Linked DNA regions of Drosophila melanogaster. The protein of the gene in region 1 interacts with the protein of each later gene in a pairwise test. Each region holds a gene or a part of one and is shown in the gene's direction. Other genes may lie near its edges. The genes, in order: CG14684, ple, CG32137 and Obp56a.

The links.
Region 2: the proteins of CG14684 (region 1) and ple interact in a two-hybrid assay, tested with the Drosophila melanogaster proteins (one large-scale study listed by BioGRID).
Region 3: the proteins of CG14684 (region 1) and CG32137 interact in a two-hybrid assay, tested with the Drosophila melanogaster proteins (one large-scale study listed by BioGRID).
Region 4: the proteins of CG14684 (region 1) and Obp56a interact in a two-hybrid assay, tested with the Drosophila melanogaster proteins (one large-scale study listed by BioGRID).

The regions. Positions count from the first base shown.
Region 1 is NT_033777.3:10,703,377-10,709,756, forward strand, and holds CG14684 (uncharacterized protein), read left to right. Parts: upstream 1-3,597; 5' UTR 3,598-3,626; coding exon 3,627-4,007; 3' UTR 4,008-4,084; downstream 4,085-6,380. Other genes in the region: CG31391 (uncharacterized protein), read right to left, coding at 171-1,613; CG31467 (uncharacterized protein), read right to left, coding at 1,916-3,358; CG31278 (uncharacterized protein), read right to left, coding at 4,099-4,410, 4,482-4,886; CG31373 (uncharacterized protein), read right to left, coding at 5,211-5,522, 5,680-5,958; CG14689 (uncharacterized protein), read right to left, coding at 6,300-6,380.
Region 2 is NT_037436.4:6,712,116-6,723,225, reverse strand, and holds ple (pale), read left to right. Parts: upstream 1-3,700; 5' UTR 3,701-4,152; coding exon 4,153-4,221; intron 4,222-5,210; coding exon 5,211-5,322; intron 5,323-5,553; coding exon 5,554-5,673; intron 5,674-5,799; coding exon 5,800-5,892; intron 5,893-6,276; coding exon 6,277-7,096; intron 7,097-7,391; coding exon 7,392-7,518; intron 7,519-7,857; coding exon 7,858-8,256; 3' UTR 8,257-9,870; downstream 9,871-11,110. UniProt on the Drosophila melanogaster protein: Plays an important role in the physiology of adrenergic neurons.
Region 3 is NT_037436.4:13,936,232-13,944,147, forward strand, and holds the start of CG32137 (uncharacterized protein), read left to right. Parts: upstream 1-3,018; 5' UTR 3,019-3,227; intron 3,228-4,438; 5' UTR 4,439-4,794; coding exon 4,795-5,244; intron 5,245-7,916. UniProt on the Drosophila melanogaster protein: Functions redundantly with BicD. Involved in formation and/or development of mechanosensory organs during metamorphosis.
Region 4 is NT_033778.4:19,693,968-19,700,292, forward strand, and holds Obp56a (Odorant-binding protein 56a), read left to right. Parts: upstream 1-3,755; 5' UTR 3,756-3,802; coding exon 3,803-3,862; intron 3,863-4,101; coding exon 4,102-4,461; 3' UTR 4,462-4,541; downstream 4,542-6,325. Other genes in the region: Obp56b (Odorant-binding protein 56b), read right to left, coding at 4,875-5,228, 5,291-5,350; Obp56c (Odorant-binding protein 56c), read right to left, coding at 6,206-6,325. UniProt on the Drosophila melanogaster protein: Present in the aqueous fluid surrounding olfactory sensory dendrites and are thought to aid in the capture and transport of hydrophobic odorants into and through this fluid.

The DNA.
Region 1 (6,380 bases):
TTATATATTTTCATGATATTATAAATGAATTTTTTTTTATATGTAGACAGGTTGGAAATATATAAATTACACGAATACCTATTTTTGGCCCTCAAAAGTAAGGTAGTATTCTTGCACAAAATCGCAACCAACAATGCATGATTTTTGCTGACTACTTTCAAGCCGACTTTTTAGGTACTTTGTCTTTTTCCAAAGTTCCCCTTCTTCACTGTGCTAACGTCACTCACACGAGGCGACTCAAAGTAGTCCACCTTTCGTATGTTAGACACTATCTTGAAGTAATTGGCAATGATCTTGTCCACTTCTTGTCCCTCATATGCGGTGGCCAATTCCTTTTCACATCGTGAGACTACGTTCGTGAGCAGACCTCCGGACCGAAAGAACGCTATGTTGATCTCCCGTTTGACCCACTTGCAGATATGTGAATGGGTGACTGGCTCGAAAAAGTGAAAGATCTCGTAAAAGTGCTCGTAACTCTCGCCAAATTTTCGCATTTCAAGTTCACCCAACTTGGGAATGTCCAGGTGGTTTCGTCTGATGATATGATATGGGTCGTATTGCTCCGAAAAGTTTGAGAACCGAACTGCTGGCCAGTCGAGGTTCAGAAGGGTGTTGTAGAGATTCTTCGGGTGGCCAAGGATTCCATGGGACAGATCAATCAAGCGGAGCTGCGATCCGGGCACAACGTACTCCAACTCGATCTGAGCGATGTGAGGATCAGTGCCCCTATACTTACGCTTTCCTATCCACAGAATGGGCAAATCCTCCGTCACAACATGCTCCAACTCTTGGACCAGCGGAGAGATCTGGACGCGATAATTGAGGTTCTTGTTGTTTCGGCCGTAAAGAAGACTTCGCTCCGCCTCCGTGAACTCAAGGTACTCAGGGCGGACGGAAACAAAGTGCTCCGACCGGAAAAGCCGATTCATCTCCATTTCGATGACGAAATACGCTCGGCGATGCATGCATATCCAGACTATTTGGATGGATACTGCCAGAAAATGCTCATGGAAGTACTTATCGTGGATAGTTGCTGAAATGTTGGAAATCGGCTTCATGTGGTAGTACTTGGCCATAGATCCCTCGCCCTTGATAATCTCACAGTAGTTTCGGGCTAATAGCATGCGGAAGTGGCTCAGGTAAACGGAATAGGTTTTCTTCATCTCAGTGGTCTGCTCGCTCTGAATTTGGGCCATCTGGCCAGAGAGTTCATCTCTGCGAATCAGGACGAACTCCACCAGGCGTAGGTAGTACTCAAAGTACAATGTTAAGGCGTGGAGCACGGACTGCACCTGTGGCTCATGCATGAATTCAATGAACTTGTAGGTTAGAAAGTCTTTAGGCATCAAGTAGAGCACCAGATCTCGAATATCTCTTAGCACCACTGTGTCACTGGTGTTGGACTTGGCGCGTACATACTCCTGCCGGAAGATAAGCTCCTCCTCTTGGTCGATGGTACGCAGGAACTTGTACCCATTGGTGATTATATAGCGCTCTCTTGCGTTTTCCAGATCGTTGTGCGCCTGAAAGTTGAGGCAGTCCTTCTCCGAGTCCCATGACCACTTGCCGCTGTAGTACTTTGGAGCGTAGTTATCGACATGGACTCTTTTCATCGTAGTCGCGCAGATAAACCAAGATCGGGTTGTGTTTAGTGTTTTTAAAGTGTATTTAAATTGATGTGTACGTGACGAAGTTTAGTGGAATTATGCTCATGTTTAAAGGCCTAAAGTGAAGTTTTATTCCCAAGCTCCCACCTACGAAACCCATACCCTTGATCGGATGCCAATGTCTTTCGTCTTCGTGCATTTATTATAAAATAGCAATCCATAAGTGTCAGTGCTTTAAAGCTCCGATTTTCTGTATATATAATAATATGCAAAAATTGCAATTAACGTATAAAATTAGGTAGTTTTTTTTACCGCTTTGCCTTGCCTACACTAAATCGCGATGCAATACTACTACGCGTAGATGATGCATGCTCCGGATCTCTATCCTCCTTGCGTATTTTGGACATGATCTTAAAATAGTTGGAGATGATCTGATCGACCCTTTGTCCTGAAGATGTGCTTGCCAACTCCTTTTCACAACGCGAGACTACGTTCGTGAGTAGACCTCCGGACCGAAAGAAGGCTATGTTGATGTCTCGTTTGACCCACTTGCAGATCTGATGGTGTGTGACCCGCTCATGAACCTTACAGAGCTTGTAGAAATGTTCATATTTCTCTTTCATTGTACGCATCTGAAGCTCACCTATCTTGGGTATTTGCAGGTGAGGTCTCCTGATTATATGGTACGGATCGAACTTTTCCGAGAAGTTTGAGAAGCGGACAGCCGGCCAGTCGAGACTAAGAAGCGTGTTGTAGAGGCTCTTGGGATGGCCCATGATGCCGTGCGATACATCTATAAAGCTGAGCTGCGAACCGGGCACAATGTACTCCAGCTCAATCTCGGCAATGCGGATATCGTTTCCTCTGTACTTGCGTTCGCCTATCCACAAAATGGGCAAATCCTCTTCAGGAACCAGCTTTAGCTCCTGGACTAGAGGCGATTCCTGAATTCGATAATTGTAGTTCTTTTTGTTTCTGCCGTAGAGAAGACTGCGCTCCGCCTCCGTGAACTCGAGGTATTCTGGGTGGGCGGAAACAAAGTGCTCGGAGCGGAAAAGGCGATTGATCTCCATTTCGATTACGTAATACGCCCGGCGATGCATACAGATCCAGACTATTTGGATGGCCACTGCCAGAAAATGCTCATGGAAAAACTTATCGTGGATTGTTGCTGAAATGTTGGAAATCGGCTTCATGTGGTAGTACTTGGACATATTATCCTCGCCCCCGATGATGCGGCAGTAGTTTCGTGCAACAAGCATACGATACTGGCTTAAGTATACCGAAAAGGTTCGTTTCATATCGTTGGTCTGCTCGCTCTGCACCTGACCCAGGGGACCGGAAAGCTCATCCCGACGTATAAGTATAAACTCGACCAGTCGCAAATAGTGCTCAAAGTATATAATCAGGGAGTGAAGCAACAAGTGCGTATCCCGCTCGTACATGAACTCAACGAACTTGTAGGTTAGAAATTCTGAAGGCATAAGGTAGAGAACCAAGTTTCTAATATCTCCGACCACCACAACGTCACTATAGTTGCTTTTCGGTAGCACATACTCCTGTCGGAAGATGAGCTCCTCCTCCTGGTCTATTGTGCGCAGGAACCTGTAGCCATTGGTCATAATATAGCGCTCTCTTGCGTTTTCCAGATCGTTGTGCGCCTGAAAGTGGAGGCAGTCTTTCTCCGAGTCCCATGACCACTTGCCGCTATAGTACTTTGGGGCGTAGTTATCCACATGAATGCGCTTCATTGCGTTTGGCAGTAAATAATGGTATAAATTTATAAAATCGTATTTTAGTCAAAAGCAGTGAAAAATCAGTGTCGTTACATTGAGAGTTAAATATTTATGTTCCTCAAAAAGACTGAAATTTAGATGCTGCAGCGACTCCGATTATTTAAAAGACCAAATACAATAATTTCCAAGGGCGTGATTTTTCTGTCAATCTGTATTCTCAGAATTTGTATTTTCCGGTACCACGCTGATTTAGGTGACCGGTGTTTCCCGGACTGTGCTAAGCATGTTCCGCCGCACTAATGCCGATCCGGTCATACGGCAATTTATTCTGCGCACTGCAGTCCTCAATTATCTTGGCAAGAGTCTGCGAGAGCAGTATAATGAATATTGCCTTTTGAGAACCCAGCACGAAAATATTAGGCTGAAGACTGCGAGTGATCAAGAGCTTGAGGACCTGCCGACTCTTTCCGAGCTATTTGAGATGCAACAGTTGAAGACGGCTGCCACCCATCGTCTGCTGATGCGGGAGTACCAAGAATTGCTTGCCTACATGATGGACAAGAGTGATTTGTGGGACAGTCAGGAGTACTTCAAGGCCAAGTCTGCGCTTGGGGCGGCCATCCACAATCTACGGGTTTGTGCACCCACCAAACCAATGGACTAAAACCAGTCGAGAGGAACATTTGCCAGATAGAATTCCATTCAATCAGTATATATACATACATAAATAGTGAAACGATCCACGAGCGACTTAACTACTTGTAGAAGGGTATCTCCACGCGTCCGGATTTCGTGTTAACCGCCTCCCAGCAGGTGCACGCAAAGGTTGAGCGGTCCATGTGATCGGTGTATAGTTTTCCCTCCAGGTGATCCATTTCGTGCTGCGCTATCCGGGCATTCCAACCACTCAGAGCCAGTTCGCTTTGGTTTCCTAGTTGGTCAAGGCCTGTTAGCTTTACACCTTCGAAACGCTCCACTTCGGCAGAGTAACCTCGCACACTCATGCATCCTTCTGGATGCTTCAGCTTCGCGTAGTTGGTCACCGTCAGGACGGGATTGATGAAAATCTGTAAGAAGCAAACCATTGTATTATAGGGTTTGGGCTTCCGAACACAGCTAGTTAGGACCCCAGTCTCACAGTCAGTGGCAACTCGGACATTTGTCGGGCTTGGTAAACGGCCTCGGGCAGCTCCTTTCGGATCCGTCCCTTGAACTCCATTGCTATGATCCTGAGCGATACTCCAATCTGAGGAGCCGCAATGCCGACGCAGTCGAACTTCCTTAGCACCTTGACCATCCGCTCGACGATGGCCTTAATCTCGGGGCTAGCCATGTGCTCCTTGGGCACCAAAGCCGCTTGTTGCCTAAGAACAGGGTCACCAATCTGGGTGAAATGGTTGTATGGCGGCAAGTTTGTGCGCTCCGTGGTCCACAGGTGCTGGTACCACTTCCTGAACGACTGATTAGCGGGAGGACTCGTTCCAAAGGATCGACAATGTCCCAGAATCGCTTGGCATACTTTTATCCGTGGTTTCAGGTGCATTTTGTGAAATGTTTAGCCTCCTTTAATATTCCGATCAAAATCGTAGGGAATATAGTTACACAACACGGTCATACTGGCCAGCTGACCGGCTAGGGATGTGAAAGTATGTACCTATCGATATATCGGTGGAAATAGATTTGATATTTGGCGCGCTTTTAAATATATGCTAGGTGCATAAAATACTTTTTCCCCGCACACAAAGTTTATTTCGTAAACAGCGCATTCATTTCAGAAGTGTATTTTATTTTCAAACAATATACAAATATGTTGTATAAAGCGCCATAAAAAAGTGAAAAGCTCCTTGAATTAAATGCAACCAAGTTATTACTTGTGAAACCAAATGGCGGATCGACCTTCAGCTGCGTTGATTTGCTCCCAGAGGATGCAGTTGAAGGTGGAGAGATCCATCCTATCCATGTAGATAGTTCCATTAAGGTGATCCACCTCGTGCTGGGCGATCCGTGCGTTCCAGCCCTCCAGTTCCATTTCCGACGGAGTGCCCAGCTTGCCGATCCCCCGGATCCGGACCTTATCGTACCGTTCCACCTCAGCGGAATAGCCTCGCACACTCATGCAACCTTCGGGATGCTTGTTTACTTGGCTGCTGATTATCTCCAGCTCCGGATTAATGAAGACCTGCAAGCAAATGATTTATGATGAGAAATCACGGGATTGTTGCTGCACATAAGCAATATTTTTGTATGCAGAAATTTAGTTTCTCAAATTCATACGTTTATAAAACTGCATAGATTTACATATATTTTTCGAACGCGAAAAGAAAAGCTTTACTTACGGCCAAGGGCAGTATGGACATCTTACGCTCCTCGTAGATTTCCGGCTTGAATTGCTCTTGCTTTCCCTCTCGGAATTCCATAACGATAATACGCAGCGGTATTCCAACTTGGGGCGCAGCCACGCCCACGCAATCGTAGTGACGTAACACCTTTACCATGCCGTCAATAATCTGGTTGATCTCCCTACTATCGATGTCCTCGGGCGGCACCTCTTCTGCCCTTTGGCGCAGAACAGGATCCCCAATTTGGGTAAAATGACGATATGGCGGAGCGGACATGATTCTGGTCGGAAGAAGATCTCTACTGAACCGTGTCTATCGAGCAACTACTGCACAGAGCTGTCGAGGTGGACAGATTTTGATACGATAGCCTTATCTGGGGATCAGCTGATCTGCCATTTGAAACACTGGGAACGATAAGTCTACGGTTCGCATTTTAAAGCGGAAATATATACCTTAAAAATCCAATACAATTTTTTAAAAATACTAGTAATATCCTACAATATTAGTAACAACAATATTGCCAAGCTTTCAAGATTTATAAGTATTTTATTCACGAATAAATAATTTTGAAGTATTTGAAGTCTCTTGAAAACCTAATGGATGTGTACGACCTCAAATCAATCGAAATAGTATTCCTGTGGCGTTTTCTTTTGGCGCGGCGAATTGAAGCCCCCGATCCGCGAGGAGGTGATGCTAAC
Region 2 (11,110 bases), on another chromosome or scaffold:
TGCACATAATTGCCGCGCCAGATTGCTGCCGTAGAATGTAGCTCGCTAGAATGGAGTAAAAAATACAAAAAAAAAAAAAAAAACAAAATAAAAACAGAATTGAGAATTTTTGAAATGGACTCTTAATTGTATTTATTAATTGCGTTTAATTGAATTATGAATAATATTTATTTGCCCCCCTAGGAAGTGCCGGTACAGTCCTACCACAGATCCGTATTCTCGGAAGTCCCCAGCAAGGGCATCCGACGAGGGCTGGGAAATTGCCAGTTCCAAGTGGATCGACCAAGGCTGCAAGATCGTGTGATCCGATCCGATCCGGAGAAGGGGAAGTGAAGTGATCCAGAGCGGAAGGTTGGGAAAAACTAAGCTAGTGGCTTCTGGTTTCTATTTAGATTCTAACAAGTACTTTAAATTAGTTTTTATTCGGATCTTTCCTTTTATATTTATTACAATATCCTATTAAACTATAAATGTGCTGGTAGTAAATTTGTAAAGAAAGTACTTTAGTTAGTTAGTTATTTTTTATTTAATTTAAGCATATTCATTTATTTTTGTTGTTTTTAAGATTTTCTTTAAGTTTCTGCGTAAACAAACTTTTGGTCAAAATAAATCCCCCTGTTTACCAAACTTTAACATCATAATCTTTAATTCAAAGAATCTCAATAAAACTATCTAATTAACATAATTGGAATATTTATTGCTTTCTATTCTTATTCTCAACATCAAACAAATGGCCAACAGGAACTGCTTTCCCCGGATTTTTGAAAAATTTTTAGCATTTCATGCTGACATTAATGATTGATGGCATGGATACAAAAAGAAACTGTACTTCGATATTCCCATTTTGGGCAAAAAAGTGGACTACGTGACCGAGGCAAGCATAAACACATTATTATTATTTTTTTTAATAGAACAATGATTTTGTGTGGCACAGTAAAAACCCAATAAAGCCCGAAAAGGTCGTTTCCAGCAATTGCCGCCTGTGAAATTTTTAATTATAGAATCTAATTTGTTTGAACGCTCTTTTATCTTGATGATTGATCATTAGGTCTAAGAAAAAAGATCAAATATAAAACAAACGCAAAGAAAAAAGTAAATCCGTCTTATGTAACAAAACTAAAAAATTGCAAAAGCCAAAATCATCGACCTTCAATTGCGAGCCAAACTCAGTTCTCAAAGGAGCCATTTCGAAAATGTTTTGTGGCAAACAATTAAACATTGTTTAATGGCAGGGAGATAGAAACGCCCGTGTAGAGTGTTTTTTAACTGATTATGGCTTGATCATGAGACTTCAATAAAACAAACAATCCGGTTGACCCATAAAGGGGTCGGGCATGGAGGGAAGTTTTAGATGGGGAGATCGCTTAGAAGCTAGTCAACCGTTAAAAGGTTCACGGCCAAGGACAAGGAAATCCCAGTGAACGGCTACCGCCTCCATGAATCACGACTTGAAGCTCAGACTCCGTGTATCTGAAACAATTTTGTGACTTCTGGAACCTTGGGCGTGTGCTCGTATGTATATTCGTTTTGCATATTGTTCGCCGTCTCATATCTAATACCTTTAGAATACGCTTGTATGCGGCGTGCACAATTATATTTAAATATTTTAATACAACAAGTAAGAGAATTAAACAGCGAAAATAGAGGCTGTGCCTTAATCATGCAGCCCGGCTCACAGAACAATAGTAGAAATCTTAAGTCGGAAGAAAAGTTTTGACCCAGCCGTGAAGGTATTTGAACATGTGAGAGGTCGAGATATAAATATATATATATATATATGCTGGCTTTAATCTGTAGGCACTTAAACTATAACAACATTTAGCTGAAATTATTATTTGATTGGCTTCCTAAAATATTGCTCGAAAATCGGAAGTAAATGTTTAGCCGAATGTGAATGTGGTATTAAGGCTAATGTGGGAACTTTTTTTGCCAGTGACTAATGGGTAATATAGTACGCAGTTTACTGCTAGTTGGATAGTATTATATTTTTTAAATAATTTAAGTTATTTCCAGTAAGTGCTATTTATTAATTATTACCCTCGATATTCTAAGTAAAAAGCTTTTCGATGTTGTCAAATGTATTTCCTAGCTCCCACAAACTTATTAACTCACCAATCCCACTCTATCGATCCAATTTGTATAATGGATCTATCAGATCGATAATTATGTTTTTGCTACTCCAGATGCCTTAATAACTTAATGCGGATCGAAGCAAATAGACGTATATGTGATGTGTTAGCTCATTATCGGGCTCGTTAGCTCAATCAAACGATTCGATCTACTAATTTGAACGGTCCGCATTAACATCGGCATTAGTTAGTTAGTTAGTTGCTAGATGCAGGCTGCAAGGATGACCGGATTGTTGGCAAGTACAAGTGCACATATGTAGATCAATGGCAAATTTGCTTCGATCTCGACATCGCCGCTAACTGAATTTGGTTAAAAGCTAACACGATTGAAAATAATGCTGCCACTGCCACTGCCACTGAAAATGTCATTCGAATTGGCGGCCCGAGTCCAATTTGAGAAGCGGCGGCAGCCTTGCCAACGTTATCAGCTTACAGGACAGGAATATATATATAATTATTTATATAGATTGCTATATGGTCGGTCTCGTAATCCGTCAGCTGCCATATGCAAATCCCAATCGCCAGATGTTTTGACGGGGCTTTCAATTATGCCATAGATATTGTAATGTGCCTGTACTTATCGCCCGGGCTTAGTTTAATGTGCTACATTTACGCATGCAAATTAGTTGTTAAATGTGCTTTTAAAATTTAATCGATATGGCTGGGTGCCACCTACTTACATCTCGGGCACGCACGCAGCCATGTGATCCGTACTTCCTGTTTACCATTACTTTGTTTTCCAGCTCACTTTCACTTGGTCCCTATACGATCCGCTTCAGCATCCGCTCTAGTTCTGACGCGATTCGATTGAGTCATTCAGGATCTAATGCGAATTGCTGGGTTCTAAAACTGAACGAGATCTTCGACTGTTGTTACACCTAGAAAAATGGAACGTATCATAAACGTAAGGTGCTTTTATTGTCTAAAACATTCTTAATAATTTTAACCTACTTCTTTAAAATAATTCTAGTGGTTAAAAACATTTCCCTAAAACAACTTACAGAGTAAGAATGTCATATATTTTCATTATTTTGCTCTGTGCACACACGGCGTATGCTTAACATTTGGCATGGACTAGCTTCGCTTTGTTTGGATTTGTTTTGGTTTTTTCTGTATGACCTGTTGAGGCTTTTCAAATGACTCCCGTTCGACTGACTGAATACTTTTGGGGTATTCTACCACCATTCCGATTGACGCGCACGCGCTAATGGTTAACCCCGCTTTTTAGCCAAGCTACAAGAGCAACAAAAACATGGCCAATGCGACGTTCTAGCCTGTTGCCGCACTTGAACTTGGTCGACCAAGTTGAGTCGAGTCAGGCCCCGCGATTCTCGACCCACTCAGCTGGCTGGCTAGCTGGTTAGCTGGCTGGTGAGAGGAAACCCCACGGCATCGGCATCTTGGCTTTAACCCAGCTACAGCTGGGCAACTACGTCACAGTCGCGTCATGCGAAAACCAGTCATCGTCGTTTGGTGAAGCAAACAATCGTCGGCAATCGGCCGAAACGTTCGTTAACTTGGCCGTCGGAATCGGAATCTGGGGGTATTTAAGCGGCGGCAACTCGACATGAAGCATGCATTGATTCGCTATCATTCGCCCTAAAGACTTGTGCCCAGCCTCAAGTAGTTTGCTGACTCTGTTTGTTGTAATACAATTTAGCTGACAAGGATAATACACATCACCACATCAGTTTCGAGTTCGCGAAAGGATCCAGCTAAAGTTCAACCGATCAACCATCTATATATCCCGCCGTGAATTCGAGAGTCGAGAGTTCTTGTCCAGCTCAATTCTAGACGCAAACAGTTCAGTACCAGGAGCGATTTTCTTGAAAAACAAAACCACCCAGCCAGATCGCCAATAAGCAGTGAAAGTGTCAACACATTTCGAGTGCTTATTGCAAATCAAACAAGAAAAGCGTAACCAAGCACATAAGCAAATAGTATTCTAAGTGTTTTTGCCAACACTTTGCGTAAATTTTTGTTGTTCACCCCAAACGAAAACAACCCAAACACACAAAAAAAAATGATGGCCGTTGCAGCAGCCCAAAAGAACCGCGAGATGTTCGCCATCAAGAAATCCTACAGTATTGAGGTGAGTCGAAAATCCAGCAAAACATACAATTTCCAAATCGAATTGTAAAAAAAAAGAAGCAAATGAGTGACTAGATTTGGTCTACGTGACTATCTAAAGGTTTTGTGTTTTCAAAAAAAAACCAGTTAACCGGCCAGTAGTCGAGCCCATTTTTGTGATCCCGCATTTCTTTTTCGCCAATTCAATTTGACCAAACTCAATCCTCGGTTGGCCATTAAGTCACACCTCTAAGAACAGGCGGCCCAAATCGAAAGGCCCAAATCGCCAACGGACACAACGGGTTGTGTGTTAAGTTATTATTTAACAAATAAGTGAAAGTGGCTGCCTTTGGGCCCCATGCACTTAGCCTGGCCGAAACAGTCGCGCCTCATTGTTGTTGACTCGTCTCTGTTTATGTTTATGCTGCGTCCGAGCAAAACAAAAAATATGAAATCAATATAAATGATTCAATGAGTTGGTCATCTTTCATCAGCCAAAGCGGTGGCCCAAAAAAAAAAACTGAAGAAAACAAACAAACAAAAAAAAAAAAAAACGAGCTGACAGTGAAAACTGCAAGTGATGGAAACCTTTTTCCCCCCATCAAGAAAAAGAAAGAAAAAAAACCTTTAACGATCGCCAGTTGCATTTTTTTCCCGCCAGAATCGCATGGGGATTTTCGATTTCTCAGTCACATATCATTTATCTTCGCACCTGCCCGCTTCGAAGCGGCGACATCGCATTAAATTACCATTCGTGGCTTTGAATCACAATCAATACAGTTCCATGAATAGCCAGCTTTATTCAAAGAAAAAGATCTGAAGACGGCGCTTTCACACACCATTTTATATAATATTTTCAAAATTGCGCAATACTCTGCTCAAAGTCACCACCCAAGCGTGGAGCCGAAGAAAGCCACCCTGGCTTGAAGGTCAAGGCAATCGTCTAATTTCCGCTCCACATCCTGCCAGTGTCACTAACACGGACTTCAATCTTTTCGCTTTCGTTTCCAGAATGGCTATCCATCCCGCCGTCGCAGCCTGGTGGATGATGCCCGTTTCGAGACCCTGGTGGTCAAGCAGACCAAACAAACCGTCCTCGAGGAGGCCCGCAGCAAGGCAAATGGTAAGTGGATAGGGTCCAACAAGTGGGTCACTAAAATAGCTCCAAAGAGGGTTTCTATTTGGGATCAAAAGGGAAATTTTGCAGCTAGGGCTTTACTTGTTGATTAAAAACTTAAAAAGTTGCAATTTTTATTTCATTTTATTCGTTTTGACATAGATTTGCGTTTTTTTCTTATTCATTTTAACCCTTTATTTATTATTTGCCTTCGTTTTTATTTTTATGATTTTAAAGACGATTCCCTGGAAGATTGCATTGTGCAGGCTCAGGAGCACATTCCCTCCGAGCAAGATGTGGAGCTCCAGGACGAGCATGCCAATCTGGAGAACCTGCCCTTGGAGGAATATGTTCCAGGTTAATATCCATTTCCATTTCAATTCCCATGCCAGTTACTCCTCTTTCTGAGCCTATTATCTTTGATTTGATTTTGATTATGATTTTCATGGGCTTTATTATTATTTTTATTTCATTCGCTTTTAGTTGAGGAGGATGTTGAGTTTGAGAGCGTTGAACAGGAGCAGTCGGAGTCGCAGTCGCAGGAGCCAGAAGGCAACCAACAGCCGACCAAGAACGGTGAGCAGGGGGTTCTAGAATCCAGCAGCCAACCATAAGTAGTACTTAACTTCTGAGAGGGGCTTTTGAAAAGCGTGCGACATTGATTTAAGTGCTTAATATGATAAAGTGCCAGGGCAGAGGAAAAGCACTCAGCCACACGGACAATTGTGAGTGGGCGCGCTCGCTCGCTCTCTCTCTCTCTCTCTCTCTCTCTGTGGAAATGTCGCATTTCCCTTTTTCATTTGTTACGCTCGACTTAATACAAGTACGAAATGCGTTTGCCTGGCAACCGTCTCACTGCCACTGCCACGTAGCTCGCTTATCGTTTACGTGACCCTAAGCCTTGGAAGATTGCATCCTTAACCATCACATTATCCCCGCTTTTTTTTGGCCCTTTTGCAGATTACGGTCTCACCGAGGACGAGATTTTGTTGGCCAATGCCGCCTCCGAATCCTCGGATGCCGAGGCTGCCATGCAGAGTGCCGCTTTGGTGGTCCGCCTCAAGGAGGGCATCTCCTCCTTGGGTCGCATCCTCAAGGCCATCGAAACCTTCCACGGCACCGTCCAGCATGTGGAGTCCCGTCAGTCGCGCGTGGAGGGCGTGGACCACGATGTCCTCATCAAGTTGGACATGACCCGTGGCAATCTGCTGCAGCTGATCCGCTCCCTCAGGCAGTCGGGCTCCTTCAGCAGCATGAATCTGATGGCCGACAATAACTTGAATGTCAAGGCTCCGTGGTTCCCCAAGCACGCCTCCGAATTGGATAACTGCAACCATCTGATGACCAAGTACGAGCCCGATTTGGACATGAACCACCCCGGATTCGCCGACAAGGTATACCGCCAGCGTCGCAAGGAAATTGCCGAGATCGCATTCGCCTACAAGTACGGAGACCCGATCCCATTCATCGACTACTCCGATGTGGAGGTCAAGACCTGGCGCTCGGTGTTCAAGACCGTTCAGGATCTGGCTCCCAAGCACGCCTGTGCCGAGTACCGGGCCGCCTTCCAGAAGCTCCAGGATGAGCAGATCTTCGTGGAGACCCGTCTGCCCCAGTTGCAGGAGATGTCCGACTTTCTGCGCAAGAACACCGGATTCTCTCTCCGTCCTGCCGCCGGTCTTTTGACTGCCCGGGACTTCCTTGCCTCCTTGGCCTTCCGCATCTTCCAGAGCACCCAGTATGTGCGCCACGTTAACTCACCATACCACACCCCCGAGCCGTAAGTATCTATCATCATATTTTACTAGGGGGTTAAAATCACTTCAAAAAGGGGAGAAAAAGGCTCTTTGTCCTAGCCTAATTGCATTTGCCTGCCTGCCTGCCGCCTGCCTCTGTGTGTGTGTGGGTGGTTGGGTTTCCTTTTCCGCTTTTCCCAAGCAACTTTTGTCGCCTGGAACACAGGCAAATTGGCTACAGGAACTGCGGCAGGCTGCCCAGCTCATTTAACCAGACTAATTGCCTTATGCCAGCACATTTTCCACACTTTTAACAAGCATTATTCTATGCCATTACAGCGACTCCATTCACGAGCTGCTGGGTCACATGCCCCTGCTGGCCGATCCCAGCTTCGCCCAGTTCTCGCAGGAGATTGGACTGGCCTCGCTGGGTGCCTCCGACGAAGAAATCGAGAAGCTGTCCACGGTGAGTTGATTTTCTAATTGAGTTGCAATGTAACGACCTTAGACTCAAGTGCAGCTATGACGCAGCTAGTTTTTTTTCGCAACCAAGATCATTGTTTAGTCACTGTCAAAGTCGAAGAGGAAAAGTGAACTTCAATGCCAGAATAATTTTTTTCTTTTTATTCATATAGTTTACAGATACAATTTAATGCATTTCAAAACACTTAATTGTGATTTTAAATAAGTTTTTAAGTTCAGAAAACCTTGATCTTATAAGTCATACAACTTCCTGCATTATCTGCCTTTGCTTTTATTTTCCTTCCTATTTACTCATTGGTTCCTTACCATTTCATTTCTACAGGTATACTGGTTCACTGTTGAGTTCGGTCTCTGCAAGGAACATGGTCAGATCAAGGCCTACGGTGCTGGACTCCTGAGCTCCTACGGTGAGCTGCTCCATGCCATCAGCGACAAGTGCGAGCACCGCGCCTTCGAGCCCGCATCCACCGCCGTGCAGCCCTACCAGGATCAGGAGTACCAGCCCATCTACTATGTGGCCGAGAGCTTCGAGGATGCCAAGGACAAGTTCCGTCGCTGGGTGAGCACCATGTCGCGTCCATTCGAGGTGCGTTTCAACCCGCACACCGAGCGCGTCGAGGTGCTGGACTCCGTCGACAAGCTGGAGACTCTGGTGCACCAGATGAACACGGAGATTTTGCATCTGACCAACGCCATCTCCAAGTTGCGACGCCCGTTCTAAGTGGATGGGGGGGAGATATATGTATGATATATAGAAGCACCCAAAAACATCGCCCAAAAAAACACCAGCCACCCCCACCACCCAAACATACACATACAGGTGCAACGGTCTCATTTATACAAATTAATTTTAAATTGACATACCGCACAATCCCTCGTACACGTAATCCTTAAACCAAAATTAAGGCATCGCGCATTATTTTTTATTTTTTGTTTATTGTTTTTTGTTTAATTTTTATTTAATTGTCATCGAAAAGTTGTAATTGTCGAATCGCGCACATGGTAAAAAACACAAAAATCAAGCATATTTATTTGTTGATCACCCGATACACCACCCAACCTGCATATTTATCACCGCAACTATTATTGGACCAAAAAATCTTTAGACGTTTAAGTGATGTGAAAACAAAGCCAAGCCAAGCCAAGCAAAGCAAAGCGAATTAAGTGAAGTGAAAAGCTGGGAAAGCAAAGTTCAGATACATCCGCACTTAGTAGGCAAAGTACCACACAAAAACCGATTGTATACTCAGACAAAAATTGTTTTTGTATTATTATTATCTTCATTTTGCCTCTCACAATATTTACCTAGACTATATAGACACGCGATATAGTATTCCCGGTATAGGAAGCTTCATTTAGAGAGAGTATTTCTAAACAAAAATGATATAGATACAACAATCGAGCAAGGAACAAATGGAAAACAAACAAAAAAAAAAACGGAAAAGATAAAAAATGAAATGGAAAACAAAACAGAATTTTCTTACATTGTACAATAACTGTAAACGACAATATTACTATTGTGTACTATTATTATTATTATCTATTATTATACTTATGACTATTACGTATTGTATTGTAGGTATGTAGAGTTTAAACATTATTATTTTATTTAAGTTTTGTGTATTAATAAAATTAAAAATGCAATTGAAAAATAATTACTCTTTGGTTTTTTCATTTGATTATCTTCTTTGGCAATTCGAAACTCTAAAGTCTGAATCTGTTTAGGGAACATTTTATGACATCAAAATGGAATATTTATTTAAAATTAATGAGTAGAATCGAGGAATATGATAAATATATTTATGGGTGAGAAGAAGTGAATCTCATGTGAACTAAAATCGAGCTATGTAGAAAATATTTCACAAATTTGATGAAATTATATAAAATAACGAAAAACCTTGGACCAATACATATGTATTATTATAAAGTAATTAAAATCAAAATATTTCAAAGTAAACAAAGTAAAACATTGGGATCAAGAATATTACATATTTATAGTTAACGTAGCATGGAATTTTATTGTTATTGTTCGATGTATTGTAGTTGCAATTGGATCGAAAGCCAACCAAGTGTTAACATTTCTGCAAGCAATTAGCCAAACTAATTACTAATTATATTCGCACATAAATCTATATATATAATCAACTTAAAGCGCAGTTGGTCCCCAAGCCAGGCTTCGTTGGTTCTGAAAAATTCAATAAAATTATATGTTTGAATGGAGCACAAAACGTGCAGATATCGTAAATATATATATAAATATATATATATACACATTCTTCTCTATATGTACATTTAATCGCTATTATATGAATAAAGTTGAAATCGTTTAAACTTGAAAACGAACTAAAATTCTGGGAGGGGCTGTGGCACGCCCCCAGCAATTTACAATGATTTTTTTATTTTTTATTTGCACACCTTGACTTGCCAGAGATCCTGAAGTCATGATTAACAATTGGAAAGGGGCCTGCGATGGAAATATTTTATTCTATTCTCAACCTGTGCCAATTTATTTTAATTAGCAGGCTCCACTAATTAGTCTTAATTGCACGCGAACATGCTGTAATTAATTACTGCAGTGGAGCTTTCCTACCCAAACTATTTTTCATCTGCCAATTTTCGGTGATCAAGATGTTGATTTATATTTATCAAGTTTGTACTTTAATATTTTTTTTTTACCGATTATCAAAAGCGACAGCTGTTTTAGAAACATGACCTACCTCAGCATATTAATTGTGGTAAGGAAAAAAAATCCGATAAACACCTGAGCGGATTTATCATATGCCAATTATAATATGTGAACGAGTACGGGTTTATTGTGATATAATAATTGGCTGTGTGAATTGAAACTGAATGTGCTAATAGTCTCGAGTAGCAACAGCGATCGGATGTAGGCGATATGGAGTGGACTCGTGGGAACGCCCACGTTGTCGTCCAATTATAATGATATTAATATCAAATCAGAACGATAAGGGACAGATGTATCGAATCTAAAATGCCCTCGCAGGTGTGCCGATCATCAAAAGGGTTGTACTGGGCATAAAAGTCAGGGGATTTCCAATAACTGCATTGCTTAAGGTAGTAGTACCTATAATCTTTCGCAGGTGTGCTGAAAAGAATGTCAGCTTATCAGATTGAAGAAATGCAGTTGTTCTTATTTTGAGATAGAAGAATCGTTTGTATTAATTATTTGAACACCATGGACACATATGGGAATTGCTTGAATCTCTATGCTTCATTAGTCTCTCATTTCACACTTGGCTTAAGCTAATTTATAAAGCAAGTCTTGGGAATTCCCATAGGCTAATATCATCGAATTTATGTAAGACATATGGGCTAATTTATATTTTAAATGACATTGGGTAGGATAGTATAGGTGCTCAAATTAAAGGTTAATTTGTTAGCTTATAAGAACACAATTTGGTTATTGTTTCACAAAATAAGCTTGAGTTAAGATTTAATGCATTAACATTCCCATAAGATGGGCGTGTTCAACAATTAACTTTCAGTTTATTGTGTTAAGTAAATAAACTGGATTAGAACCTTTAAAAAAATAACATGTATTGCCAACAGAACGG
Region 3 (7,916 bases), on another chromosome or scaffold:
TTTGTCGCCGCAGAAACCAAAACTTTTGACCATAAAACGCCCGGTAATGCCCCAACTTGTTGCCGTTGACTCATGCCGAGCGCTAAAAACAACATAATTATTGTACATATTAAAGACTTGATGTATGTGCGCACCAAATTGTGGACTAAACGACATGTGGTATACCCTAAAAAAAAAACAGATTAATTCATTAGGAATTTACTCGTAATCATTATTCATATAACGTATGAAACGTAGAACGTATGCATGTTGTATAAACCAGAGATTCCTCTAATGGTATGATATATGATGGTATATATATGGTATATGATATATGTTTACTCCCTTATCGAACAGATATGTTAAAGCTATCAAACTGATAAGTATATTAAAACTGATAAATATTTCAAGGTGCATAAATCGATTGAATTGTTTATATTAGCCTAACTACGATGGCTTGACCAAAATCACTAATAATTAAATGAAATTATAAATTGATTAAATTCGAATACAGTTCTCGAGGTTTGTTTTTCATTCGCTGTAATCCTTCAAGTGTAACAAACTCCATGGCCAAGTGGAATTTCTATGTTATTTCTGATTTGCTTGGAAAAAAAAGTGACACCAACATGCCAGAAAAGTTAATCAACCTCCCATAAGAACAACGCAAAATAAAAAGAAGCAGAAGTAATTAAACAAAAAAAAAAAAACTGCGATACAATGCAGAGCAAGAGCAAGACCGAAACCAGTTTAGGTGGGCTAGGTGGCTATGCTATGGTACGGATCGGTATGGTAGCCGTGCCCCAAGATGGATGAATGGATGGCTGGAGTGCCGAGCTCAACAAGAGCGAGAGTGTAAGACAATAAGGCAGCTCAAGAACACTTGATTGCAGGTGAACTGCAGCATGGAAACCGGAGATGAACAGAGCCACGAAGAATTCCAACCAGATGCCCCACAAATGTTCAAAGGAAGACACGCCACTAACCCTTCCTCATTAGGCAGTGCGGCAAAGTTATAGTTATAGATCGATCTGCGCCGGAAGCACGGAAGTTTCACTCACTGGCCAGCGAAAATCAAGTAAAACACAAAAAAGTTAGTTACGCCTGGTTAGGCCATCATCCGAAAGCTCAATTTGGTAAATGGCCAAACAGTAGCCCATACAGTAGCCCAACATAAACAAGCGGCCACGCAACATCAACATTATGGATGGATCTGAAGGCGGAGACGGTGATGGTGATGGCGTTGGCCACCAAGAACAATGGTCTGGTGTCGGTCTGAAGCTCATCTTCATCTTCACTTGGCCCGGCCACTTGAGTGTCTTATTGTGCATGTTGTTTGAGAAGTTTGGCGCTGGGCGGTGAGGAGCCGGCATGACTCTGGTTTAGTACCACGCACTAGACGGTCTGACCATGTCTACGGCCCCCTCTTTAGAAATCTTCCTCACTTGGATGCACTGGAAACATTGGGGTCACATACTTGTACCTATTTTCATTTTCAAAAGCAGAATGTGCTAGAAGTATGATTATAGGGTATGTGATAGAATATTTCATTTTCATAACTGATTTTCAGTAATTAGTACTGATCTCTAAATAAATTTTAAAGATACATTTACTTTGAGCTGTATAATATATAGATTAAATTCAGATGTTAATGAAACAATTTGAATATTTTTTACAGCTTGTAATTACTTCCTTCCGGAGCACTTTAGCTTTTTAACATAGACCATGTCTACGGCCCCCTCTTTAGAAATCTTCCTCACTTGGATGCACTGGAAACATTGGGGTCACATACTTGTACCTATTTTCATTTTCAAAAGCAGAATGTGCTAGAAGTATGATTATAGGGTATGTGATAGAATATTTCATTTTCATAACTGATTTTCAGTAATTAGTACTGATCTCTAAATAAATTTTAAAGATACATTTACTTTGAGCTGTATAATATATAGATTAAATTCAGATGTTAATGAAACAATTTGAATATTTTTTACAGCTTGTAATTACTTCCTTCCGGAGCACTTTAGCTTTTTAACATAATTTCGATGCCTAGAGCAAAATGACCGCGAATCTAAAAATTTGAAGAAATAAAGTTCCTGCAAACATATACCCATTAATTGCTTAGTGTATACCCATTGTTATTGCCATTCTTGGGTGCCCATTGTTTGTGTTCTTGTCGTATGTAAATTTTGCATTGAAATGTGTACGCTTGGGTACATGTGTGTATGCACGTCGTGGTTTTTGGAGGTCCAGGTCTCTGGCCCTCCTCCCTTTTGGCCACGCTCCCCAGTGCCCCCCTGCCCCATTCGAAACGTCACTCCGTTTCATTATTGTTCACTTGGCCGCTTTCGTAAGTCGGGCCCAATGCAAAACAAACGGCGAAGAGCAGTCAAGAGAGTAGAGCCGAATCAACCATATGTCAGTTAAAAGGGAAGGAAGTCGGAGCAAAAGAGCGCCAAGTGAAGCTTACCTTTGGAGCTGTGTTTTGGTTTTACCAGGGTTGCCAGGTAAGAAGCGATTTCATGAAAAATTCATCCACAATGCTAAGGCTTAAATTATTTCCTTGTAGATTTTAGATCTACATTTTTAAAGTAAGATTACTGCAAAATCTCTGTCCAAAATAATCCAAGTAATCATGACATTTTATTTTTAGGTTTGGCTATCGAGATTTGCCTAATACGATATGCCTATCAGTAGCTGAACAGAAAACCAGTTTTCCAAATGTTTATTGACTTAAAGAAGATATCTTAGGCCATAAATAGTCTATTATCAGTTATCTGCGTCCTAAATTGCAATTTGCTATCTTAGTTGCTTTGTAACCAATAATATTACTCGACTGCGATTATCGCCCCTGCTTCGTTGCTATTATTCGACAACCCTGGTGGAACACTGGTAACTCTCTTTGTTAACCGCCACCTAAGAGAGCCAACCGATGTTGTTGGTTGTTGTTGCCAAGATACGAGGCTTAGCCAGTCGTTCGTCGTCGTCGTCGCTTGGTTACTCATTTGTTTTGCCAATTTTCGTAGCACGGCGGCCTCAGCGCCATTCAGTTAGTAACGAACGTTCGCGCCAGACACACGTATCCGCCACGCCCCCGCGAAGCCGCCCTCTGAAAAGCTGGGGAAAGCCAGAAAATCGTAACCGAAGCGAAGCGAGCGCGCGTTGTACGGCATCGGAGAATCCGAAAATCGGAGAATCGGACATCGGACATCGGAAGTTCTGCTTTGGAGTGGAGCAGCGTCGTCGTGACCGAGGTTTCTGCCCTCATACATATACGGATATAGTTAGCTATATATATATATATACAAATAGTTTAAAAGATATATAGGGCCAGACTGTAGCGCGCTTGCGAAAGTGGAAAGTATCTGCTGGATACTTTGGATACTTTCCGTTTTGGGGGAATTAATTAGACCAATATATCCCATGCAATCCGCGCGTTATTTTTGTTGTTTTGTCAATAATAATGCCAAACTCTGGCCAAAAACGGCATATATAAGCGGAAATGCAAAACAATAATACCAACAATTTGAGCCAAATCGGTTGTGTATTTGTGAACTGTGCTGTCTGTGCTGCTTCCAAAAAAAAAATCAAAATAAAACGAATAAAATAAAATAAACACAAAGCGCACATAAATAACAAAATAAGTGTTGGCTAAAAGCTTAGCCTGAAGCGTATTATACATTTTAACAACAGTTGCTGTTGCTACCAAAAGCAGCTAAGCGTGAAGTGCTTGCCAAATGAATTTTCTATATAACAAATGAAAACGGCTAAAAAATATATATAAGTTTAAAAAAACCGGACCAAATTTTAAACGAGATCTGTGGACTTTGAGAGATTCTAGCCACCTTCGTTTGGCTCTATTGTTGTGTTTAGTTGGCCGATAATGTTTTAAAAATCATTTAACATTAATTGTATATATATTTGGGTATTTCGAAATTTAAACCTAGAGCGGAGACTCATACTAAACTCATTGGTACATCCTCGCTAACTAAAGCAACCTCTGTAAATAAACTTTTAATACCCTTAAATTTAATGGAACTACTACTGAAGTTCTTTTTGGATAATCTGCCTTAACAGCCTTATAAATATCCACCCACCTGTATAAATCCACGCATGTCAATACGCCCCCCAATCCGCAAGAAACTTAAACCCTATTTGATATCCAAGCCGCATGAAGCTTAACTAAAGACTAACTTAACCCTCTTGCTTAACACTGTAGTTATATGTTATCCCCCCCCCCCTGCCCAAAACACCCCTGACCCTAGCAAAACCAAAAACCGAAAAAAAGCCCCAATAACAAGTAACTAAAAACGTGCTGGCAAACGCTCAACGTGACCGTCGCTCCTTTTGGCCAACGATTAGACCCGTCTTGGCGGGCATACATATATATATATACCACATTTAATGCTAATTCTCATTACGGCTGTGTACTTATACTTATATATCTAACCGAAATCAACTGCAGCTCAAACACATCAGTCGCTTTAACCACGGGTCTGCTCTCTTTTGGGAGCAGCTGGTGTCCATGGAACTATGCTCGGATATATCATCGTATCGCCGCGCCAGCTAATGCTAATCCTACGACCAGATCAGAGCCATCTGAACACCTAACCAACGATAAACCCAACTACCAAAATTGTGATCTCTGCATCGCACTAAAACCTAAACTGATATTAATTGCATCCAACTTACTGTGCGTGTGTGTGTGTGTGTTATGTCTGTAAATTTGGTTCGTTGCTATTATCCGTACCCGTAATATCACGTACACACCATACCACACCTACCCGCCTGAAATAAGTCCAAGCCTGCCCGCTAACGATCATGCATAAACCAAAGCTAGCGAATGCTATAACCGCTGCCGCCATTGCCTCATCCATATCCACCAAAAACAACAACAACAACAGCATCGTCGGCGGCAGCAGCAGCAGCAGCTCCGGTGGCAACAAATCGAAGCGACCACGTCAGTTTGGCCAATACTCGATCGGAGTTGGAACTGGAGCTGGAGCTGGGGGGCTACTCCGGTCGGACGACTCCGGCTTCGACCACCTCGACTATTCGTCACTAATTGGGGATTCGATTGATTTAGAGCACTACATCAGCGCCATGGAGGCACGTCGACACGACCAGGAGCCGGATGTTTGGGCCCAGCTGCAGCAGAAGGAGTCGGACATCCTATTGGCCGCCGAACTGGGCAAGGCACTGCTCGAGAAGAACGAGGAGCTGGTCAAACAGCAGGAAAAGCTCATCGAGGACTATTCGAGCAAAATTGAGGTGAGTCATGAAACACATATAAAGTTAACAGGTGGAATTGCCATTATAAATGGCAAACAATTGAAATGGAAGTCAGTTATTTGGGGGAAAGGAAAATTGGTTAGAATTAAAAGAAATTTAGGAAGAGGACATATAGCTTGGAAGGTACTTTAGTGACTTAAAAGATAGGCAATGCATATTATACTTTAATACACTTACAATTTAAAAGATCATAGAGATGATAGTTATGTATCTCTTGAATATGGTTAAGCAGCAATTTAAAGAATTGGGAAATGAAAAAATTAATTTTTGTTATGTTTTCTAAATGAATGGAAGAGATCTAAGCACTCTTTATTATTAGTTTAATGATATCTTGCTTATTGAGGGAATGCTTTCATGTTCTTTTATCTCTATTCTCTATCTGATTTACTAAAGTGTGAGCAATAAACAAAATAATCACTTTGCTTCTATCTCTATATTAGCTACCAATTGTGTGAAACCAACATTTGTAAATTCAGACCCATTTATTATTTTCCCTTTTTAAGCTCCCTACCTTTTCCTCTAATGATTTCTTGAACAATCTAATAGTTATCTCTAAATGCCGGCGCATTTATCAAATCGGCAACGGCAGTTATACCTGAGTACCAGAATTTTGATTGACTCACCTGATGATTTGCATTGATTATTGGCGGACATGTGTTCGTAAATGACCCCCTCTATTGACGCATTGCTGGCATTCCCAGGTCGGGAGAATTAAATAATACATATACAATATGGATTTTTTTCGAGAGCTGAAACACAGCACCTGTCCAATGCAGCTCTGTAAACTGAACACACAAACTCCCCAAACTGTCAACTGCAATTTATATTGTGGGGTGGGTTCTTTAACTATTTAGACAAACAAAAATGGTTACAGTCATGTCACTTTATGGACGATGACATACTGTGTGTGTGTGTGTGCGCAGTAAACTACTGAACTATATAGTGTATCACGTAAGGGTATCGATTTTTGTTCCATCACAAGTTCTACCCTACACATTTTGTATGAAATAGCTGAAGAGCTCTTCTGAAGTCTCTCTAAAAATTGGCTTTATCGAGCACTTTCCTGATAACATGGCAGGAAAAGCAAAGTCTGTTCACAACACCTCCAAATGTTTCCAAAGTCTATGTCTGCCGCCCGACCTTGAACCGCTCGAATGGGTGGTTTCTGTGTGGGTGGGTGCGGTTCGTTCGCCTGTCACCTGTTCACACACACGCACACACACACACACTACAGATACTTCCAGGTAACTGACAATAGAAGAAATAGAAGAAGATAGGTAAACATAAAACACCCGTTCCAGCAATCGCTCCAAGTGAAGTTCAAGCCGCGGCTCAAGTTCGTGGCCGTTCACATTAGCATATTGGTTGCCTCAAACTTAGTTACCTCGCTTTTCCATCCTGAACCGATAGTTAGGCTAATGTACTTTTGTTGACCGACCGGTAAACAACAATGTATTCTTATCAATTAGGCTTCAACGCCGATTAATGGCAATTCAATGCACGAAAAGAGAACAGGAAATGTGAGGATGGTTTGGGGACCACCTGATGGTGTGAGTAACCCAAACAGAGGACACAGCAATGCGTTGAACTTGAATAATTTCGTTGGTACATATTTTCCGTGGGTTTGGGCCATATTTACGTAGTTGGCTTAGTCACTTTAACTGGGTTTTGTATTCTCCTTTTTTTTTTTTTGCTTTTGTAGTTAAGCACGTTGAGTGACTTCATCTTCATTGAGAAATGAAAGTGCGAAGGCCAATTGCGGGGGGGCTAGTCGCGTAATATCCTGGATATTTAGTCAGATGATGTCATCGTGAAAATTTTGTACATATGTTCGAGTCTTTTTGAGTCATTTTTGATATGCAAAAACTTTTGTGCAATGAATTTTTTATTGAAAATCGAGAACAACTCCATTGCTTATTAAATTTATATGCCCTCATTGAGTTTAAAACCAAAATTATACAATATATATGTATACATTATACATTGTAAATATCAAACTAAGTTCAATAATAATAAAATGCTCTCTCTGTTCGAGTTTAGTTTTTACGTGTCTTCAAAGTCTGTGTTTTAATCCCGTAAAATTCCCATTAAAATAATAGTTTGCTTGCTCACCTCATGCATTCCATAACCATTAACAATTTAAATGAAAATCGCTTGGCACCCGAAAAAACCATTAAGTTTATTATAGAGCGCTCCAATTTAAAGCCGAAAAGTGAGAAATTCCCATGTTCCATTTTCCATTGGCCATTAAATGGAAATCGCTTTAGACTAATGAAATTGGGCCAGTCCAAAAAAAAAAGGTTAACACCTGACAGTTGAACAACGCCAATTGTCGCTTTAATTATTTGCTTGTTTCTTTTTTTAATAACAATTATTGCTTAGGGAATTCTGGCGTGGAGCTGCCGCATAAATCTCTTGAATTTTAGTCACCTTGACTTTACCTTTTAGTCTTTGTTTAGCAAAGTGACGTGAGCCACATTTTCGCTGGATTCACTTTTATTTGCGTGTTTTTGGCAATATGCAAAATGGCTGGTCGCGTATCTAATTAATTTCTTCAAAAAGTTATGGAGCGCACAATGTCACTTCGCTGCTTGGATGGATGAACCAGTGGTCAGCTAAACCAGGCCCATCCCATTCGTATACTATATAGT
Region 4 (6,325 bases), on another chromosome or scaffold:
TCTCGTTGCTCAGCTTATGCGAAAGTTTAAATAGAAATAGGCAAGAGAAGTATTCTTTTACTAACTTTATAAGATCTCTATGTGCACCCTCTTAACCACCTTAACTGTATATGTACATATTTCCATTGCGATAAGATATTTTTAGCATGTAAGTGTTTGCTAATTTTGCTTTAACTTTATCAGCTATACAATTAACAAGGGGTTTTTCCAAATATTAGGTTGAGGTAATTATAATTAGCCTTAATTGAGTGCATCGAGTACAATATATATGTAGATAAATTTGTTTGTCACGACAAACCAATCAATTTAAATTGTGATTCCCATCCGAAAGCGTCTTACTCATTTGGGTTGTTAACGTTTGTTTAATTTTATTGATAGAGCAATAAAAGCGGCAAAACTTCCCCGGTAGCTCTAGACAGAGATTTTGGCAACATCAAACTCCACGTCCAGTGTGGCTATTAATGTTCTTGCGGCTTTTGAGCATTTCAATTCGTCCCGTTACTTGCTTTAAGCCATTTAGCAAATTATTCGCAACGTGCCTCAACCCTGGAATGTAAAACTAGAAGAGAAGGAAAAAGCAGCGGAGCTGAGACGAGAGCAGACAGCCATCGAAGTTGAATGGAAATTTTTTGGCAAAGCATTTTCAATTCAATCAAACACCCCACACATGCTGGCATTTAAATAAAAATAAACAAGGCAAAGGAATACTTCGAAACACTTTTAAGCATCATTACATTAGCAAATTTCACCGATTTCGGGGTATAGGATGGTTTCGATTGAGACGATGGATGCGAAAAGTCGATAAAAGGACTTGTGTTCATGTGTGTATGCGTTAGAGGCGGAACGGGCGTGGCAGGGGCAATAAGAAAGCACACATGGCCCACACGAACGCGAAGTTCGCTTACTTCCGTTTCCGTTTTTCGGCATTTTCTAATTTCCATTCGCCCCATAGTCGTGGGAAATGTAATTATGGCCATAGAAGAACCCGCAGAACCCTCTGACGTGAGCTGTTGGCCAGCTGTTGGTAGGTTTGGTGTAATTGTCGTTATAATAAATAACTTCAACTGTCCGACACTTGACACTTGACATCAGCTGCAGCGGAAGCGGCAACAGGAGCCGCAAAAAGAAAATCCCCACCCCGTTCTGCATTTCCTTCATATGGGTGCATGCAAAGTGCCAGAAAAACATTTACCATTGCCGCATATTTCAAATGCGGACACATGTAAAAATGCTGAAGCGCTGATAAGGACATTAACATTTGGCCAAACACATAGACATGGCGGAAAGCCAGGCATGGGGGTTTTTGGGGGAAAACTTCCTTCCGCATATGCGAAACATCAAAAAAAAAAAAAATTAAGCGGAAAACCTTCACCTCGTCGCTTTTGACACGCAAATTTATAACGGCAACAGTGGCAAACAAAAACTTGCTATGGCCAAAACACACAAGCGCCCAGACCCTCAAAAATAAAGAAGGGAAAGGCACAAATTTTTGAACGCATACAAATGCAATTTAAATTTACTTATTTAGAACCCCTGGGAATTTCAAATTATTTGCCTTTTCACGCAAATTTAGCGACCATTTTTCTCACAGAAATAGAACTCAGACAGGTGGGTCGTCGTCGGGCCGGAGTTTTCATAGTTGGGGATATTAAGCCAACCCCCTGACATGTGTACACGGGCTGATTCTTGGGCGTAACTTTTTCCAACTCTCATTCTTTTTTTTTTACTTTCCATGGGGGCGATTAGAAAATGCTTCACCCCACCGAAGAAAGTAACCCAAAAGTCTCTGACAAATGCTCTTTGGCCAGCATGTTGTTGTTGCTGCTGTGTTCTGTGGTGATTAATGACGTCGAAAGCTGAGCAGGATCTGCTCTGCGGGGATGCCGTGGCAGCTTAATTTAAAATGAAAATTGTACTTAATTTCTAGCTGAAATTTGGCGGCATTGGACGGGGGGCTTGTAGACTGATTATGCTCTTCATGGTTTTGCCTTGTGCTCTATAGGGATAGCCATCCATAGCTCAGCTCTGGTTCGTTAGAAATAAGCTTGAACAAATATTACATTTTTGCCTTGTTAATGATTCGAAAGTTGAAAAAGAATGTACAAATTTTGAGAAATTAATCCTGTTTGTCTAGATATTTAAATGGTCACATAAGGGAGCACCTTTAACCTTTTGTAGAAAAGCATCACTTTTATTTGCATTTTACGTATTTAACTCAAATACCTAATACGTTCGAATGTAATTTCTTTTAATTAAACCTTTATAAAATTCCTGACTTAATACAAAGCTTACGTCCAAAACAAAGCCAACAAAAAACTAATTGCCACCTGTTAACATTCCTAAAATGCTTTTACTCTCCTTCAAAATCATTATTTTTATAAAGTTTTCAGATTAAATTGCCAGGTTTTTTTCTTACATCCAACAAACAATCTTTGCATGTGTAACGCCAGAGTTTATCACTCAAGTCGGCTGTCCCCACCACAAGCAAATTGAATTAAGATTACCACACAAGGATTTCAAAGCATTTGCGGAGAAGTCAAACAAGCTTTAGTTTATTATTATTATTGCGTCAGAGCGAAAAGTTTTCAGCCACTGGTTGGTCAGGGGGCGGATGTTGGGATGGTGGAGGGGGCTGTGGTGTCTGCGTGTGCGTTGGAAAATTTTCAATCGCAATCTTATGGTTTATTTCTTTAGCGCCAAAGCTACTTTATTTTGACAGCAGACAAACAAATGTCAGAATTGAAATTAAAAGGAAGGCAGCGACAGCAGAAGAAGTCAGTGGAAAACTTGTGAAAAACACGCCCGACTCAAAGATGTAGACGAAGGTTTTTGCGAGGGAGAAGGGATGTCTTGGCCACAGTACGCAGTCCCAATCAGAAACTCCGGATCCCGGCCACGACTTTGGATCCGACTCCGACTCCGGCTCGATTCCATCAGCCTCAGTCTGAGTCTCAGCATCAGCATTACCACCCACACGCACTGACTTTCCTGCATTCCCGCATTTTCTTTTTGTACATTTCACACAGCGTGAAATTTTCTAAATGTCATTTTGCTGTCATCTCGTGGATAATAAGATTACAACTACGCTGAAATAATAGGATTCAAATGAAAAAACTTTGCCGTCGTCGTCTGTCTCCTTGCGCTTCTCAACTTTCAATACGCGCTTGGCCACACCTCTCCGCCCAGATACATAGATATATATCTGAATCAGAATCCGACTGGGGCGTTGTCGGTTGGTTATTGTGCCTTTAGCTTGGGATCTGCCACCTGGTATGGGGCAGCAGTGGAAAGTTTTTGATAGAGTGTAGCGATAATGAGTGAGCAGCCACAATTTCAACTCCAACTCCAGACGGAGTAACTTGAGCGACCTACGATCTGGACACCACTTGAGCCGTCCCTGTCTGTACCATGTCTGCGTTCTATCTGTATAATTGATTCGATTCCCCAGGTTGGACAGGTAGAAGGCGGTTTAATGAACCATGCTTTCATAGCGACCATAACTTCAGATTGTCTACCTGGCCGCGGGCCACAAATAGACGAAAGTACTGGCCAAGATTGCAAAAAAAAAGAACCCAGCTAGACCAAAGGAAATGGGAAAGATAGCAAACAGAAATCTAAAACCAAAACCAAAACAAAAATCAAAAAGCAAAGCCATCAGCTGGGCTTAGTTGGATCACTGCCCGGGGCCATAAAGAGAAACCGGCTTTTATTGGCAACCAAGCCGGGTATAAAAGCCGCGATCCCATCCCATGTCGGCATCAGAACTTCCCCAACGTTCTAACAAGTCAAAGTATTTCTCAACATGAACTCCTACTTCGTGATCGCTTTGAGTGCTCTTTTTGTGACTCTGGCTGTTGGATCGGTGAGTTTGAGAAAACTAAACAATAGAATTATATGGGTTTTAAAGTCTTGAAATATTTTATTGGACTCTAACCCTATAAGATGTAATATTTATAAGCATATATCTACACTGAAGACCCTGACTTGGCTGTAAATATAAAGTCTGAATCTTCGAGCCTTTGGTGTGTGTTTGGAATATATGAAGTAAACGACTTGGCTAAATGTTTTTGTTATTAAAACCTTAAATTATCATTTTCTTAGTCCCTTAATCTGAGCGACGAGCAGAAGGATCTGGCCAAGCAGCATCGTGAGCAGTGCGCCGAGGAAGTGAAACTTACCGAGGAGGAAAAGGCCAAGGTCAATGCCAAGGACTTCAATAACCCCACCGAGAACATCAAGTGCTTTGCCAACTGCTTCTTCGAGAAGGTCGGAACCCTGAAGGACGGTGAGCTGCAGGAGTCAGTGGTGCTGGAGAAGCTCGGCGCTCTCATTGGCGAGGAGAAGACCAAGGCGGCTCTGGAGAAGTGCAGGACCATCAAGGGCGAGAACAAGTGTGATACCGCCTCCAAGTTGTACGATTGCTTCGAGAGCTTCAAGCCCGCCCCCGAGGCTAAGGCCTAAAGAAGTTAGGGATTTAATGCTTGGCAAATTGTGATTCGGGAAAAAATGTAACAAAATTTAAATAAATTCTTTGTCCAATGAAACTATGCTTTGTTTTCCATATTAGGTGTTAATATGTCTTCTTGGTTTGTTTGAGTTTGGGTTAATAGAAATGCAACAATACGTTAAATCCTTGTTATTATTAAATCACCCAGTTTACTTTGATTCAATGCAATCATAGAACAAGTGCATCATTCTGAATCAGAAGGGTGAGTGGCAAATTTGCCACAGCTTAATTGATGCTCTCAAGCCCTGTTTCGCGTAAGCTGATTATAATCCATATTCATGTGTAAGTCAGGTGATTCGGCGTTTTCAATTTGCATAATTAAATGTATGACTGCATTGAACACTTAAACTGCTTTATTGTTTTAATTTTAGGCACTAATACCCTTAACAACACACTTTTCATAGTTGTAGACAAAGTCACAGGTGGCGGCTGACTTTGTGGTTCCGCAGCTGGTAAGCAAACTCTTTAGCTTATCCACCGGCAGACTGCTGAAACGGATCTGGGCCAACTTAACGATCTTATCAGTATTGGGCTTTCCATCGTCACCCAGGAGACCCAGTTTCTTGTAGACGCAGCTGTGATAGCACTTCACCGACTCAGAGGGATTCGCCACCTCCTTGTCGGTGGTCAGCAAATTAGCATCACTGGCAGCAATATTCAGCTCCTTGATGCAGGCCTGTTGAATTTGCTTGTAGGCTGCCAATTCCGCAGCTGACTGGCCCTGTTTTAAAAATGCGAATAAAATGATGAATTATCCCTAAAGCAACGTTTCATCCAACTTACCGCTACTAGTTCGCTTAGAGCGAAAATTAGGAATACAACCAACAAGTAGATAAGTTTCATCTTTCCAAAGCTACATTCACTGTCGAACTGAATTTCGTTCACAATAATATGGCTTAAATACGCGTAACATGCTTAAGTTCCAGACTTAATTTTGCCAATCAAGTTATTATTTTATTAAAATTCAATTAATAAAATTTATCAATTTTAAACTGGGTTATTTTTAATTCAGATCCAATTTTCCCATTTTAACCAGTAGGCGTTAAATCATCGCTGCCTAGATGATCATTCGGGTCAGTGAGCTTTGTTTGGACTTTGGATTTATTTACTTATTGTGCGTGAAATAGATTTTCTTCTTTTAAGATTGATTCTTATGTTTTAAGTGAAATGGCTTTTGTGTTTCTTAGTTTCTACAAACAATTTTTATTCGACATACAGCTGCATATAATAACATAATATGGGTCTTCTTATTAGTGTATTAATGATTGGGAAATGGTTACTTACTTATTTTAAGTATGATAAAATTGCTTACATTCGTTTTCTTCTTTTTACATTCAAATCAACACATTAGTTTACTTAACAATCTGCCCAAAACTATGCTATGGAACCGTTAAAAACATTTAGAAAAAAGTTAAGCCCAAAATTGAGCCCTATAATATGGTATTCAGCTTTTCAAACACATCAGAAAATATTAAAGCTTTTAATTAATAAAAAAAAAACTCTAGCAACTTAAAATTGTTTAAACTAATTACGCTGAAATGCAAAACTCTTGTTTTTATTTTATTTTATAGCTTTAAAACTCTCAAACGCTGAATAAGTTACAATTTAAGTACTTATTCATACATACATTTAAATAATAAGTGGATTTTCTATATAGCAAACACCGATAAGAAATAAGACCTACAAGTACACAGCTATTTACTCCGACTTAGCGGTGGTCATTGCTTCTCCGGAATGCTGGATGCCGTCGATAAAGTCGCTGCCCTCCGGACCGAATCCCTCGTTCTCCGCCTCGGTCCGCTCAAGTATCTCACGGAT